Tribolium castaneum: one gene and its partners. The protein of the gene in region 2 binds, or shares a complex with, the protein of the main gene of each other region. Links are inferred from orthologs where the notes say so. Each region holds a gene or a part of one and is shown on either strand. Other genes may lie near its edges.

Region 1 (5,274 bases), on a different chromosome or scaffold from region 2:
TTTTTGGCGAATATGAAACTGCCTTTAGCTACGTTCCCTAAGTGCCCATGTGATCACACATTTTTTAATTTTATCGTTTATTCTATAAAGATTTGTATAAATATTTATTTCTTCGTTTTTAATTATTTTTGAAACAAACGATTTATCTGCCAGCTTGTGGGGAAAGACGGAGACGACGTGATAAAAGAAACCGGGGTTTTGGTGAACAAAGACCCATACACGTGGAACTGGAACCTCATCAAAATCGTACTAAAGGTAAGTCAATTTATTGTAAATTTTTTCGTCATTTTTAATCCCACAGGGTGAATCCCTAAAAATCGACCTTTCGGAGACCTCCCATCGCAACTTCATAAAACGCCTCGTCGACTTCTACACCCCTTCGCGCAACCGCTTCTCCCACATGGACTTGAGCACGCCTAAAGTCAGTATTGCCTACACCCTGACCGGGATCGACCTAATCAACTGTCTCCTGGAGCTCGAAGACGAAGAAAGCAACCGCATGTTGCTCGACCTGTTGTCGGACATCTCGGGCAACATTAATGCGATAACGAGCGGCCGCAGCGTCCACGACTGTCTCTTCAGCCCCCAGCACATGAACAGCACCCAATGCCAAAGCTACTTCCTCTTCCTCGGCCGTCTCTCCTCCACCGACGTGGGAATGCAGCTGCTGACCAGCTTACAAATCTTCAAGCAACTCGAACACTTGGCCACAACCACGAACAACGACTGTTACGTCAAGTTGATCGTGTCGTCTCTGGACTACAGCAACGCGGGGCCTTGTCGCGACCTATTGACCGAGGTGTTAAAGTGCGCCGTTGAAAGTTCAAGACTGTACGCCACCCAATTTCTACTAGTGCTGCTAAGGGCCGGAATTAACAATTTCGCCGACTGGGGCGTTCGGTGTCTAGTCAAACAGTTGAAGGATCCGTCGCGGTCGGTGTTCCTCGCCGCGTTAAACACACTGCATGAGGCTTGTGAAGTCGAAAGCTGTTTAGAGACTTTAGTTAAGTTAAATCCGGACTTGGGCCATTTGGGCGAGAAAGGCTCGTTGTTGGCGCTCAGGTTGTTATCGATAACTTCCGGGTTTCAATTGTTGAACAAGAACGACTTCGTTGTGAACGAAATTAAACGATGGGACGAGTATTTCATTTATAGATACATTAAACTAGTCGAGGGTGAAACCTCCGATGCTTTGACTTTACATCAGAGGGACGAGGACGGGAAATACGATAAGAGGACAAGCACGATAAGGACGACAAATAGGAAGGATTTTTTCTTGCCGCCGCATCTTTACGGACAATTGGCGCGGCACACTGATGGCTTTCTCATTCTAGTGCAGCACGGGTCGCTGGAAAACATGATTCAGGTGAAACACCCATTTATTTTGTACCAAAAAATTGTACAAATTCAAAAAAAATTATACTGGACTGATTGCCCTTTTTTCGGGTTGTAATTAATTCTTTGAACATTATTTTGCAAAATAGAAAACACAAAATAGGAACTAAAAAAATCCTTGATGGGTCGTATGTTTTTTATCAGTCTCTGTCAGTGAGTGATTGCCAGAACAAATTATTTAATATAAAATTTACCAATATAATATTTACCAATCTAAAAAATAGTGAAATAAAAAAGCGTTTATTTGTTTAACGAAACGCTGTAAGTGCTAAGTTTACAAGGTGAAACTTCTAAAAGTGTGTTTTACTAGATTGTTCCATGGTACATCTAAAAAACTAATACACAGATAAAAATGAGCGTTTGCTGTTAAATACTTTTTTTTTCTCTGTCTGTGATTTTTTTCAGAATTTTTTTTACAATCCTTTATACTTGAAATGCTAGAAATTAATTAATATTGTGTCTATTTATTGCTAATGATATTCTGAAATGGTGTTTTGTGCAAATATTCCTACAGAAAATTATTGCTAGCCCATGAAAATAAAGAACCCCTAAAGTTTATTTACTTTGTGGCTCATATTTAATTGTAAACAACTTCTAATTCGAGTTATTCAAAAAATATATATAATAAATAATAATTGACACACCACCACGGCGATTTTTTTGCATAAAACAAAATTTATGCATTTTTAATTTTTTTTTTTCGAAATTCATTTTAGTTTTCGAGTTGTTCAAGAAATATATATATAATAAATAATAAATGATACTCCACCACGGCGATTTTTTTGGTAAATGATTGTGCTTTAAAATTGCTTGAAAATAGTATTATTTTTTAACCGGTGTATTTTTTTTTAATAAATTGTTATGTTTTTATTTATATCCATGAATACAACTTCTTCGGCTAAATTTGAACAAATCGTCGTAATGAGCTCGGAACGTAATTCTAATACTTTATTAAAAAAACACTGTTTTAAAAACAAAATTATTGAATTAGAAGTCATTTATAAAAATATATTTGAAAAAAAAATTTTTTAATAACTCGAAAACTAAAAAAAATTGAAAAAATTATTTTTGAAAAATGATTACATTTTAAAAGTAGTTAATGATACATAATACTAATTAGTTTTTTCGTAAGGTACATAATTAATTTAGACACAAAACGTTTGGTTCAAAACTCTGTATAAGTACCTACTGTTATTTTCTATTTCGCGTTTGTTGACTATTTTTTTCATCGTCATCGTTATAATTCTTTTTTTTTGTTTTTTTTAATTCGTCTGATTCCTGTTGGCGCTTTAATCTGGGTTTTTTCTTGTACCCTTTTTAATTTTTATTAATTACGTTTTTTTCTTTAATTAATTGTTTACCAGATTTGTACTAAAAACGGTGTTACAAAGTCAAAATTTTTAGCACTGTTCTTAGTAATTTGGTATGCTGTACTATTATCAGCTCTGACTTGTTTTTTTTCTGAGAAACATTGGTATTATTACCCAATTTTAATAAAGTGTAAGTTAATTCTTCGAAAATCATTTTGCAAAACAGAAAACACTTATACACAGCACTTATATAAAATGAAAAAATACCTCCAGTTTTTATTTATTTTGTCACTGTCGCTGCCAGCATAAATTATTTAACGTGAAAATTGCTACACAATTCAAATAAATATTTTATAAAACTTCGAAATTACGATTTAAAAGGCGCTCACATTGCGATAATTCTTTATTTCTAGTTTCTCACGAATGGCGTTTGTGAGACCGAGGACGATATTTTGAAACTGAAAGCCTCAATATGGGCTTTGGGCCACTTCGGCAGCACCAGCGAGGGCCTAAGATACCTAATTTTGCACAACTGTTTGGCAGCTTTGATAACCTTGGCACAAGAGTGCTTAGTGTTCTCGATTCGGGCAACTTCGTATTACGCCCTCGGTCTAATCGCAACAACGCGACAAGGCGCCGACGAACTCTTCAAACTGGGTTGGTTTAGCACACGTCATAACCGACACGTGGCGTGGCCAATCATCGAAGAGGAGGCGTGGGACGAGGACGAGGACAGTTTACGACTTCCGAGTAGTTTCCCCGATATCACGCCCACTTTGTATTACTTCGACTCGGGAATTAAGGACGTAGAGGGCAGCACTGACGACGATACGTCCGAGTCAATGTTGCCCGATTCCACAGTGGCAGGCCCCCAGAAAAGCCTGACTTTGCCGGCCAATCAGAACCAAGCGGCGGGCTACCACAAGAGGTCGCTGTCCGAGTCGAAAACCTTCGAGATTATCCGAGCGCCTCAGGACAGTAAAAAAGGCAGCTTCCGATTGGGTACCGAGATTGTGAGGCGCGTTCGGAACAATTCGACCACGGAATCGACCACGTCCGGGGTGAGTTCGTGCGATTCCTTCGGCGGAGGCAAATCTGTGATCTAGTAAGTCACTATTTTACATTTGTTTTTTCTTAATTGGGCATTTCAGCGAACGGCCACAAATCTTGAGTCCTATACCAAGTTCCTGTAGTCTCAGTACGTTAAAACAATCGGCGAAAGTGCGGCGTCATTCGGAATCGTCACGGCGTGTCTCAGTTCAAAGTAACTTAATAGGCTATGCTGGGCGTGGCTAATGGGCGTGTTTTCAGGCGGGTCTAACTCGGATCGCTCGCTCCAATCGCTGGGCGGGGGCGGGTCCAGTAAGCTGAGCCATCAGGATCTGGTTGGCTATGCCACACTTCGTTCCTTACGAAAATCGCCGAGGTATTTGGAAGAACCCGCCTACGACTCGGACGATATCCGGAGTGATAGTAGCTGGGATGTTCCCGTTTCACTAATCGAAGATTTCAATCTTTTAAATACCACTGGGACAAGTATTAAGCGGTTTAGTGTCCACGATCGGAACGAAAGCGAGGATCGGTGTTACATGGGCGTGACTTTGCCTCATGACATTAATCATTTGTTTCTGGATGTGGACAGTGAGGCACGTGATGCCTCTTTGGAGAGATTTCCGATCATTGACGACGAGATTGTCTATGCAATGCACGATTTTAAAGTGCGTGAGGAGACACTGTGGAGGCACGATGTTGAAACGTGCCTTGTTTGTTCGTGGAAGGGGCCCAAAGACGAGGTTTTTGTCACGACATCTAGCGGTAGGTATTTAATTATTATGTGGATTTAATTCGCGCTTTTACGCTCTCTGGTGAAGGATTTTGAACCGTTAAACTACTATCAAAGTGTCAAAAAAAATTCTATACTTTGATTATCGTCTTGTCATATTTCGTGTCGAATTTGGTGAAACAATTCAGGACGTAGTTGGATTTAAATTAATTTAAAATAAAACACATTTCTGAATTCTGTTTTCAAACTGAGTAAAATTTACCCAAGTTGTTGGTACTTATCTGTCATAGTTTTTAACATTATATCAGTTTTATTTATAATATCACTGCTCTTGAACCATTTGCGATAAGTGAATAATTTTTTTACATTCTGTAACCGAAGGTTTGAAAAGCTTTCTGAAATTTTCAAATTTGTTGACTGTCAAAATTCAAGGCTAGTATGATTTCTTGAAAATTATTATCGTAAACGGCTCTAACTCAGTTTTTTTTATGGAATCACCTTATTTTCTCAAAGGTAATCGAAAGAACATCGACATTTATGGTGACTTATTAACACGTCTTATACCTATCTCTTACGGTTTTTGAAAAATCACAAAAAAGGATTTTATTTTGTAATTTTCATCGTGAATCAAGTAGACTTTGCAAAATGGTCAACAATTGTCAAATTTCAACATTTTATTTCGTTTTTAGCTGTATGATTATCGAATAAGTAGTAAAACAATAATATGTAATTATGGTTTATTATAAGTTAGTGAATTATGTAAAGTATGTAACTTAGTCAGTCTGC
Region 2 (5,374 bases):
CTACATTATCACATCAAATGCTCCAAGGCCTACATTCACAGTCGGATGAGGGCCAAGACGTCCGATTTCCTCAAGGTCCTGAACAGGGCCAGGCCGGAGAACAAGTCGACAGATAAGAAAACTATAACGTACGTCTTTTTGCTTTTTTAACAACTTATTAGGAGACGAAACGAAGTACAAAATCACAGGGTTTTTTCTCATATTTTTGCGTACGCTGCGAATACGGTTGAAGATACAAAAAAAGTGTAAGGAACAAAGTTGTAGAGAATTAAATTTCCTACAAAAAAGTCCGCGATACCATATTTCTATCTTTAACGGTTTAGCTATAAATTAACTCTCCGATACTTGGCAACCGGTAAAATGAAACAAATCCGTCGCTTGAGCGTCTTTGGACCACTTTGGGGCCAAAATGGTTGAAGATATGGATATGGTCTCGCGGACTTTTTTTTAGCAAATTCAATTCTCTACAACTTTCTTCCTTACACTTTTTTTGTATCTTCAACCGTATTCGCACCGTTTTGAAAAATATGGGGGAGTGCAAATTGGTAAAAGTTTGACATTTTTTTAATTACAGTTTACGATAAATTTTGCTTATGTTGAGAATTTAATGCTTCATCTGTCTGTATTTTTTGTTTTACTAACATAACCAAGGAACAACTGCGCTCTCTGGCGACACTGACGGAACTATCGAGAACGGAGCGTTTTATTTGTACGTCGTTTCGTATCCTAACTTTTAGACATCCGTATCATAATTTAATTGATTGATTTGTTACAGAGGGAGAACTTTCGTTCGACGGGATTGATGTGTATAGTACTAGTGAACTTTGCTTGTAAGATCAGCTCAAAAAAGGACTAATAACTGCCGACAATTTATTAAACTTAACTGTTTCATTCAATTTTCCCATCAGTCAGTTCTTGCACAGCCTCTCTTGCAGTTTATTTATTAAGTCAATCAATTGGTTCATTCAGTACTGAATGCTACAGTTCAGTTAATAGAAGTGCTGATTTTTCAGCTACTTGTGTACATAGATTCAATCTTTTAACCATGTGCTTCCTTTGAAATATGGGTAAGCACATCAATATTGTGAATTATATATTTCTAATACAAAGTTTAATTACATATTTTTTACCCAGTTTGCGAGACGTGTTTTAGGTTTTTTACTATGTATCCGCTTGTTGTTATCATTTTGATTCGGAACGATCCTTTTTACTATTGAGAACTTGAACCGCCAAATAAATTGTATAACTTAACATAGTTTAATAGGTAATAAATGAATCGTCAATTTCTATAGCAGGTTGCAATATTTTCGGATTTCTGTAGGCAATTGGACGCATTCTTCATGCTCATTTCATTTTTATATTACATTAACAGAGCAAGACACTGTTTAATTCAATAATAGAAAATAAAATGTTATTTTAAAGTCTGTGTATCATTTTTTTACCAACTCGAAAACGTGTGGCGACACTTGATTGAACTTTATTAAGCCAGGATGGCCAACTCAAGCAGTCATTTTGGATGACTTGCTACTAACGCGAAATTCCTATTATTTTAAATTATTAAAGGAATTTCAAAAGACTGTATTGAGAGTATCAATAATTGGGTGGGAGCAGCAAACACGCACAATTTTATTTGTAATTTTATTAATCATTTTCGTGCGTTACAGATTCTACAGTAGCGAATTTCTCGCCTGAGACTGACAATAAACCTAACCCTACAATTCCACATTTTTTATTATTCACCGTTAAAAAATGGTTAAAGCGGCATTGGACCCCCTCGTGAATAAAACCCTCAACATCCGTTTATTCCACAGTGTTGAGAACGTGTCCGACTTGCGTAAAAAAATAATGTCAGGTCAACTTGAGTGTTGTCTCGTAAACCCCAAGTTGATTGTGGACCCGTTCCAGTTAGTCGTGGCCGCAAACAAGGCCCTAACTGCCAAAAACCGCACCACTAAAACGATTTTCACTGAAATTTTATTCAATTTGTCTGTATCCAAACACATAACGAAAAGTTTGCAACAGTTTGGGATCACTGACGACTGTAGAGACTTGCTGGTGGTGACTGTCGGCGACGACGACAGTCGCGTTCTTTCTGAAATTAAAGGCACGGAAGTGGAGTTGGGGGCACTTGAGGAGATTCGGGATTTGGGCGCTGTTAAGAAGGCTTACAAGATTGGGCCTGAGGAAGGGGCGACTAGCACTATTGTGGACTCCGTCGTCAGTAGGATAGCCACTAAGGATTTTATCTCGCATTGATTGTATTTAATATTGATAATAAATTATTAAAAAAGCTCTAAAAGCTGTTTGATTTTGGTGTTCCCGCTCGAGTGAACGAAAAACCCTAACAGTTGGTAGTAAGATGGCAGTTTTGTTGTCGTGCCATGCGTGTGTAAATTTTAGGTGTTGATTCCGTTTTTTGATGTAATCGTTACGACTTAAATAAATCCCACTTCACAACTCCTAAAAAACCCGAAAACGCGGCTGAAAACTATGACAGAGTTGGGTGTCAACGGCAATGACGAGAAAGACAGTGACAAGGAGGCTGTCTCCGACAAGGACCTGCCCCTGAGCTTCATGCAAGACAGGCACTTGGAGCCCATCGAGGGCGTCGAGTGCATAACGCAGACATGGCGCATGAAAGAACGCGTAACTGCAACCCGCCCACAAGTTGCTTGTTTTAATTACAAAATTCCAGATGAAAACAGTGAGTGTGGCCCTAGTTCTGTGTCTGAACGTGGGCGTGGACCCGCCCGACGTGATGAAAACCCAGCCATGTGCGCGTCTGGAGTGCTGGATAGGTAATTAGGTCGGCATGCGTTCGCGGAATTCAGGTCGTGTTCCAGATCCCTTAACCTTGTCCGCCCCAAAGTCGATCCAGAAAATCGGGGAGAACCTGCAGGCGCAGTACGAGCGGTGGCAGCCCCGCGCGCGCTACAAGCAGTCCCTGGACCCCACTTCGGAAGAAGTCAAAAAACTGTGCACTTCGCTGCGCCGCAACGCCAAAGAGGAACGCGTTCTGTTCCACTACAACGGTCATGGAGTTCCTAAACCGACGGAAAACGGTGAAATCTGGGTGTTCAATCGAGTAAACAACCCCCAACTAGCCCCAGCACTTTACTAACCAGTTCTCACACAGACCTACACGCAATACATCCCCCTGTCCATCTACGACCTGCAAACGTGGATGGGGGCGCCCTCGATCTACGTCTACGACTGCTCGAACGCCGGGATCATAATCGAGTCTTTCGAGCGGTTTGCCGCCCAACACGAGGCCGAGTACGAGCAGGCCACGAGTCAGTCGCGGCAAAATCCAGTGGTGGCGCCTTTGCCCTCCTATAAGAGTTGCATACAGTTGGCGGCGTGCGGGGCGAAGGAAGTGCTACCGATGAATCCTGATTTACCGGCCGATTTGTTCACGTCTTGCCTTACTACGCCAATCAAGGTCGCCTTAAGATGGTTCGTTCTACAGTCTACCTCAAAACTAGTGCCCAAAGTCACCCTGGATTTGATCGATAAGTGAGTAACCACTTGTTTTGACTTGGAAGTGGGCCAAGGTTGAGCAATGATGCGGACCGCAGACTAAACGCAAACACTTGACGGTTAATGAACTTTTACCGAAATGAAATTGACTGTTCATATTATTTTTAAACAGTAATTTGTGGCTTCGAAAAATTACACCGATAAATATGTTTTACAACAGATTGATATCGCTAGAGTAAGGTATTAACTTATCGTAAAAATATAGATTAACTCGCACTTGCATTAGGTAATTAAATATTTATTTTTAGACGTAATTTACCTGCCTATCATCGGACTTAATCTATTATTTATTAATAAAATAAAGTGTGAAGCATTTTTGTTTGCGTTCCTGAAATAATTTCTATTGTTGCGTTCTAATTATAGCTAGAAGAATTTATTTTTACGCACTTTAAAACTAATGCTGTTTTTGTTTGTTTTCCTTGGCAAAGCAGTTTTTACTCCTTCGAGAATTATAAAAAACTGGTGTAATGACAAAGAATGAACTTGACCCAAACCGCATTAAAAGGTCAGGTCCAATTATGAAACATAAACAGATAAAAGTGGGTCTAAAATTCCATTATCTCCACTTGGAAACTATTTTTTAGTTTTGAAAATAATCACTTTAATAAAATATAATGACATTTTAAAAGTAATTTACGAAAATGCTGTTTCTCTTAAGAACATTACGATTTTACTATTTACCACGACATTTTTGTAATCGATTATATTATTAATGGAATAAATAAGGTGATGTTTTTTTATCTTCTAAGTTTCCAAATTTAAACGATACAAAAATAAAGATGGAGTATTGTCGGAGTTCAAATACGAAAATTGTTTAAATATCCACATTTTGATGAAGTATTAACTGGTTTTGAAAAAAGCGCATGAAATCCTTGCCACTTTTTTGTAACAAAAGAGCAGGTAATTATGTTGAATTACTTAGTACAAAACATTCAATTGCACTAAAATATCCGGTATTTTTTATTTATTTTCCTCGATCCAAAATTCCAAAAATATTAAATCCATAATTACTATTGTGGTTAAAAGGTTAAAAAAAAGTTTCAAACCTTTAAAACAGCTCACGTTCAAGCTGTACATACGTCAGCTTCCTCAATCTTCACCCTCTTATATTGTATTTTTTGTTTTTACGTTTAAAAATCAGTAATTTTTGGGTGTCTTTTTTTTTAATTTTTAATTTAAATCTCCAAACGTTGTAAGACTGACAACTTTTATGATTATATTATAATAATATTTAATAATAACAATAATAGAAATAATAAAAAAAAGTAATAGTATTTTTCGACCATAGTGTAACTGTTTTACTTTTGCGTTTCATCATTTTTATTTTCACTAACCTTCCTGACAATAAGACGAATAAGAGAAGTGATAGTTTACTATTTACTAAGGAAAGAAGGTCGATGTTTTTTTGTAATTTTTTATAATTTATCTGAATAAATACATTTGTGGATAAAATTGTAGGAAATCTAGTATGTCCTATAATAGACAGGCAAAATAAAAACACCGTACTTGAGTGTTTTTCAGTTTAATCATGTTTATACAGTTTTTTTTTCAGTTTTAATAAAGTTTGTTTCAATTTTTTTTTATAAATACTAATTACTAAACTTTCTCATTTGAGCTGAATTACAAGGTTTATACTATTTATTATGAATACTGGGCAAAAATTAAAATAAAAAGATGCAAAATTTAGAGAAAAAAGTTCATAATTACTTTTGATTTTTAGTCTTAAGACTAAAAAGACTTAAGACTTAAAGACAAGATTATTTTTTCTTTCATTTTCCCAGAATACCGGGTCAAATAACCGACCGCCGCACAATGCTCGGTGAGCTTAATTGGA
Region 3 (5,374 bases), on a different chromosome or scaffold from region 2:
CGACATGTACAACCTTTTGAGCGACGTTCCGGAGCAACCCGCCGAGATCGACTGCTACAGGGAATGAAATTTGGAAATAGTGTGATTGTGGAGTGATTAAAATGATTGTTCTAAATCTATTAACCTATTCCATTAGCTGACTAATCTATTTAGCTATTTATTTATTCAGAGGATTATCGGGGCGTATAATTGGCCGGTGATATTGCGCTGATTTCGGTGAATATTAGACAATGCGATCTGGTTAAAATTCGGAGGCGCAAAAAATGGTTGCGTAACGGAAGCTTGCGGTTGAGTTTCAACACAAATCTCGCTTTTTCGCTAACGGTACGTCCAATTTATTGTCGTTAAGATGGCGTACGTGATTTTCGTTTGTTTTTGCCCGGCCGGCTAGTTTTTAGCAGTGTAGAGGGTAAATAGAGGCAATTACTCTCCCGCCTATGGGGCCACCATAAGTTCATTAGAAGTCAATCAACTGGCATGCGAATAAAGTGGACAAGCCGTCTGCGATTTCATCCCCCGATTGTCGTTTTGTTTTTTCGGAATTTTTACCTACTAATTTCTCCGTCTGACTTTTATCGCGTGACAAATTTCTGTCGCCAGTCGCACACACACAAAAAATACTTAAAACAACGACTGTCTAAGCCTGCTGTGCCGTAATCAATAGTAATAGGGAGATAGGGCGGAATACCTACGAAATTACTTGTAAATGCCCTCGATAATCTCCGAGAAACGGACTAATGTTTTTTCTTGGATGGCCGGTTATTTATTACGGGAGATATTATGAAAGTTTCATTTAATTTCTCTGAATTTTTAACGGACGCTTTCAGCTGCTTGCCTTATTTTTGTTAATTAAAAGACGACGTTTTGATTTGATTGTGCTCAACGTCAAATTAATCACATTTCTCCACTTGTAATTATTCTTTTCACATCGTAGTCACAAGCTTAATTAACAAAATCAACTCTTCCTAACGATAAATTACCGACAGTATTATTCACACCATAAATTGTTGTAGAAAATTAATTAGAAATGGAGATAACACCTAATTAACACTTTCGCGAAATTTTATCAAAAAATACATAAATTTATTAATTGCCAACTTTTATAACGCAATTAAATTTAATTAGCAAGTTTTGCGGCCCAAAATGCTAGTCCTTGAAAATCACAATTAAATTAAATCATCGAGAAGGCCAGGTCATTTCATACAAAAAAAAATGAGTTTTATAAAAATTAACACAAATCTAACATAATTTTTCCTGAATCTCCGTAAAGTAAAACGATTCACTAAAGTAGGGTAAGTGGCAGGGGATAGTTTATTAAAGCGTCATTTTAACTTTGACTGTACCATCCCTGATTACAAGTTATATAACTCTGCAACCAACAATAGGGTCCAGCATAATTGGTTGCATAATACTATAATTTTTTGTAAATTGCAGTTTTTGAAAAATTAAGCGTGCGTTTGATAACTATTTATGTAAAATTACTAATAACACTAATGCAATAGTAAAATAATTACAAACTATTACGTTTGCGGATAAAATATTATCTGTAATTCGGAGTAAGTGACTTTATGTGCCTAAATTATATGAAATAATAAATAACTGTTCAGCTGTGCCACATAAAGTAGCACTTTTAATTCTAGCACCATAATCTACTATTAAGAGGCTTACCTTGCAGCCTCCAGTTCCAGAAAAAGCCACAACTGTGTTTTCTTTAAAGCCCTTTTAGAACCACTTGAACCAAGTAGTTTTTTAGCACATACACCACTTTGTTACACCACTAGGTTTTAATTACGAGCATTACGACAATGATTTAAACAAAAACACACTTTTTAGGGGAAAAACAGCCGACACGGCGGGTCAGTGAACTGTCTAGACATGTAAGGGCGCGAAAAAGTGACAATGGTACCAACCAACCCCAACCAAAAACTTGCTAAAATTTGTAAAAACTTAAATAATTGAGGTAAATTAATTATAAAGGGACACTAATTTTCAAAAATTGTTATTTTGTGCCCTCTTTACGCAAGTTTCCAGAAATGGGGCTTGAAATTTTATAGTTATTCGTCTAGTGGGTTACAGAAACCTGTAATTGGATTTATGTAGGTGTCAGCACTACGTGCACACCTGTCAAAATCAGTATGTCGTGTGAATCATTCCAGACGTTTTGTTGTCTTGAAACGTGCTAATCGCCTCAAAAGTTGATAAAACCGTAGTTCTAAACTCCAGAGCAATAACTTGGATAATATTTTATCGTTCTCCAAGCGCCATGACGCCAAAAGCAGCCTTGTCTCCGTGTCGTAAAAGCCCATTATTTAGTGCAAATAGTGATGATCAACATGGTTTCTCTTGAAACCGTGCTCTAATTTCCGCAAAAGTTGCCTATAATTCGTCGGAAGCAGCTTGTGGACGATGCAGGAAGCCTGAGGATGGAGTCGTTGCGGAAGTGGTTCTACAGACCAAAGGTGAGCCCCGTTAATGAATTCAATGTCGCAACCTAATTTCCCAACGGTCTAGTTTCTTTTTTACCTCCTAATCGACGAATTAATTTCGCTGATTAAGTAGGCATCGTGCAATTACGCGTTGTTGTTTTGTTTCGCTTTCTACGTCGTGACGTCATCCGATCAAAATCAAAAGTTTCCCCAATGTGTGACGTCAGGCCTTTTGTTTTCTTCCAGCGGGATGACAAATCTTTGTTGGCGCAATTTTTCTTCGCCGACGAAGCTTTGAACATCATCGCCAACGAGTTGGACAGTTTTGATGGACGCAAGGACCCGGGGAGGTGCACCACGTTGGTCAACCAGCTGAGGCAGAGCCAGGACAAGGTGCTGACGATCACCAATGCCATCATGGATGTGCTCATTGGCGACGAGAGGGCCAACAGGGACTTCAGGGTCAAGTTCCCGGAGGATGTGCTCCAGGAGAATTTGGCGGGACAGCTCTGGTTTGGGGCTGAGGTAATGAGCCCTTTGGCTGGTTTTCGAAATTTTCCGTTATTTGCGCATTATCGTCAACAAGCCAAACGTCAGTGATAATTTTAATAAATATTTTCACCGATAATAATGTTTTTCGGTGTTTGACCTTAATTATGCAAATGTCAGCGATTCTGAACTGGTCCAAGCATGGGGAAATTATCGATAATTTGTATTTTTAGACGGGTTTAATTAAATTTCGTTATCTTGCGACTTGTAACGAGTATGACTAAGTTTTGTTGTTACACGAATTTTTCTTATCTGTGTTTGTTGTACTGTTAAGCGGCAACACAAGGAAAACAATCAATTAATAACACTAAAAAACAAGAGGGAAGAAGGAAAAGTTAAAAAAAATTGGGCAAGAAACTATGGTCTCTTGACAGAAATCTTAACTTATTAAATTGGTTAAAGCAATACAAAGAAAATAAAATAAAATGTAAGATGTACAAAAAAATAATGCTTGCGTTAAATAAAACTTTCTTGTTGAATCCTTACCTAAATTTTCCTAAACATTCCTCGGTAAAATAACATTTAGGAACAATAATAAAAAATCTGAAAAAATTGTTGCTACAAAAAACTTTGGTAGTGGAATAAAAATCTAAACTTGTTTCCAGTTGCTAAAACAATAATGTTTAGTTATCAGAATACATATTTACGATTGAATAAATTCGAGAAAGTCTTCTTGAACTACATACTAATTACTTTATTTATTACTAACGAAGAATTTTGAAAGCAGTAGGTTTTTTGTTATTCAGTTTGGGCATTTCTGTCTTTGTTTTACTAAATATCACAAAATTAAAGCAAACATTAATGAATAAGAATTTTTTTTTGAAATGAGTTTATTACAAAAATAAACAACTTTGGTCAACTTCATTCAACCTCAGACGCAAGCAAGGTCTAATGAGCCCGATAATTTGTACAAATAAGCACCCACTTATCGAAATTTTCCATTTTTAACACTTTACTCGTAATTAATTTTCCGCCCGATTTTCATAAAACAAATGATAAAACTTGACCTCAAGCATTTACGAAGTTATAAAACGGCGCGATATCACCGTATTAAAGTAAGTATTTAAAGCGACCCTGAAATACCAAAACCGTAAGTCAACGACGTCAAATGAGCATTTTTCGTGACACAATCGCACGGAAGTGCCCATAAAAGGCCATGCCTTGAACAGCACCGCTTTCTTGCAGTGTTTGGCGGCCGGCTCGTCCATAATGAACAAAGAGGCCGAAAGCACGGCCATGCGCCCCCTCGCCAAAGCCGTCACCAAGAGCTTGGAGACGGTGCGCAACCTCCTGCGCGACACCTGCCTCCGCAACAACACCCCCAACGGCCCCATCAAGCTCGACAGCAACGAGCTCGTCACCGAAATGCTCCTCGAAAGTTTAAAAATCTTCGATAAGTTATTCGCCGAGTTTGAGCTCGCCTACGTCAGCGCCATGGTCCCGGTCAAGTCCATGCAAGAGTACGAGCTCCAGGAGCTGATCGGCGTCCTCTTCAGCGAGACGTTGCAACGCGCGCTTAAAATGAAGCTCCTGAGCCAGGAGATGGTCGACGATTGCGACCCGGCGCTCATGTTTACTATTCCGCGACTGGCGATCGTAAGTGGCCTTTTGATTTTTCCAAGTGGACCTTTGTGCGTGGACAGACCGATCGAGGAGATGAGCAATATGTTTCGGCCGTTTCGGACTTTGTTGCACAAGATCCGCGAGCTGTTGTGGACGTTGAACAAGCGCGAGTTGTTCATGTTGGAGAAGTTGTTGTGCGATAACGAGCAGATTAGTGACGTTAAGTCGTTCAGTGATAGTGATTTTCGGTACGATTTCATCGACCAGTTTTACGGTGACTTGCACCGCGAGGAGGTCGTGGTTGTGGCCAAGGGGGAGGTGTCCGTTAACAAGGATAAACCCGTTGTTTATCCCCTTGAAACGGACACGCCTTCGACTTCGGGGTACTTGATCCCGAATAGTATAGCTCATGATATCGTGGTGGCGTCGGTTGTGGAGCCCCAGCCTGGGGACTCGCCCCCGGATCACGACTCCCTGGAGGTGATCTCGGTGGCCGCGGCCACGCTATCGTCGATTTTGGCCGAAAACGAGTCACCGAACGATTCGGGCGTTTGCACCGAAAACACAAGTCTTGACCGGTCACCAAGTCTCGACTGTCAATGCGGTGTGGGCTGCAAGTGCCGGAAAACCTCCCCCAGGATCAAAGGCAAAGGCAAACTCCCACCGACTTTACCGCGGAAGAAGCGACAAGTCGAAGATGACGCTTCAAGTGTCGGGAGCTCGGACACCTCCTCGTTCAACAGCAACGACGATGAGGAGATCGCGCTGGCCATGCAAGCGGCTCAGATCGCCGAAGTCCGTTCGAAGTACCGCTCAAGTGAAGACCTCATCCACCG

Evidence for each region.
Region 1: raptor (region 2) and rictor share a complex: the UniProt entries of both Homo sapiens proteins name them as parts of the mechanistic target of rapamycin complex. The link is inferred for Tribolium castaneum from reciprocal best matches to the Homo sapiens genes RPTOR and RICTOR.
Region 3: the proteins of raptor (region 2) and lateral signaling target protein 2 homolog are in contact, whole or in part, in a cryo-EM structure (PDB 9F43), measured with the Homo sapiens proteins. The link is inferred for Tribolium castaneum from reciprocal best matches to the Homo sapiens genes RPTOR and ZFYVE28. Residues at the interface, in NP_065812.1 of Homo sapiens: Arg54, Arg305, Arg306, Thr317, Asp321, Phe337, Arg338, Leu341, Ala344, Arg348, Leu437, Gln438, Leu440, Leu441, Ser442, Gln443, Arg446, Pro474, Tyr475, Lys478, Leu479, Gln481, Ser482, Ser483, Ala484; in NP_066023.2 of Homo sapiens: Arg399, Val400, Phe401, Phe402, Met403, Asp404, Asp405, Val406, Glu407.

The regions. Positions count from the first base shown.
Region 1 is NC_087395.1:23,063,256-23,068,529, forward strand, and holds part of rictor (rapamycin-insensitive companion of mTOR), read left to right. Parts: intron 1-153; coding exon 154-255; intron 256-301; coding exon 302-1,366; intron 1,367-3,118; coding exon 3,119-3,810; intron 3,811-3,856; coding exon 3,857-3,969; intron 3,970-4,016; coding exon 4,017-4,520; intron 4,521-5,274. UniProt on the Homo sapiens protein: Component of the mechanistic target of rapamycin complex 2 (mTORC2), which transduces signals from growth factors to pathways involved in proliferation, cytoskeletal organization, lipogenesis and anabolic output.
Region 2 is NC_087399.1:3,466,105-3,471,478, reverse strand, and holds the start of raptor (regulatory-associated protein of mTOR), read left to right. Parts: upstream 1-2,333; 5' UTR 2,334-2,490; coding exon 2,491-2,646; intron 2,647-2,695; coding exon 2,696-2,798; intron 2,799-2,843; coding exon 2,844-3,085; intron 3,086-3,136; coding exon 3,137-3,516; intron 3,517-5,321; coding exon 5,322-5,374. Other genes in the region: Arpc2 (probable actin-related protein 2/3 complex subunit 2), read left to right, coding at 1-128, 776-803; EKC/KEOPS complex subunit Tprkb, read left to right, coding at 1,750-2,256. UniProt on the Homo sapiens protein: Component of the mechanistic target of rapamycin complex 1 (mTORC1), an evolutionarily conserved central nutrient sensor that stimulates anabolic reactions and macromolecule biosynthesis to promote cellular biomass generation and growth.
Region 3 is NC_087395.1:24,480,071-24,485,444, reverse strand, and holds the start of lateral signaling target protein 2 homolog, read left to right. Parts: upstream 1-2,097; 5' UTR 2,098-2,423; coding exon 2,424-2,459; intron 2,460-2,672; coding exon 2,673-2,951; intron 2,952-4,160; coding exon 4,161-5,374. Other genes in the region: uncharacterized protein LOC107398699, read left to right, coding at 1-67. UniProt on the Homo sapiens protein: Negative regulator of epidermal growth factor receptor (EGFR) signaling. Acts by promoting EGFR degradation in endosomes when not monoubiquitinated.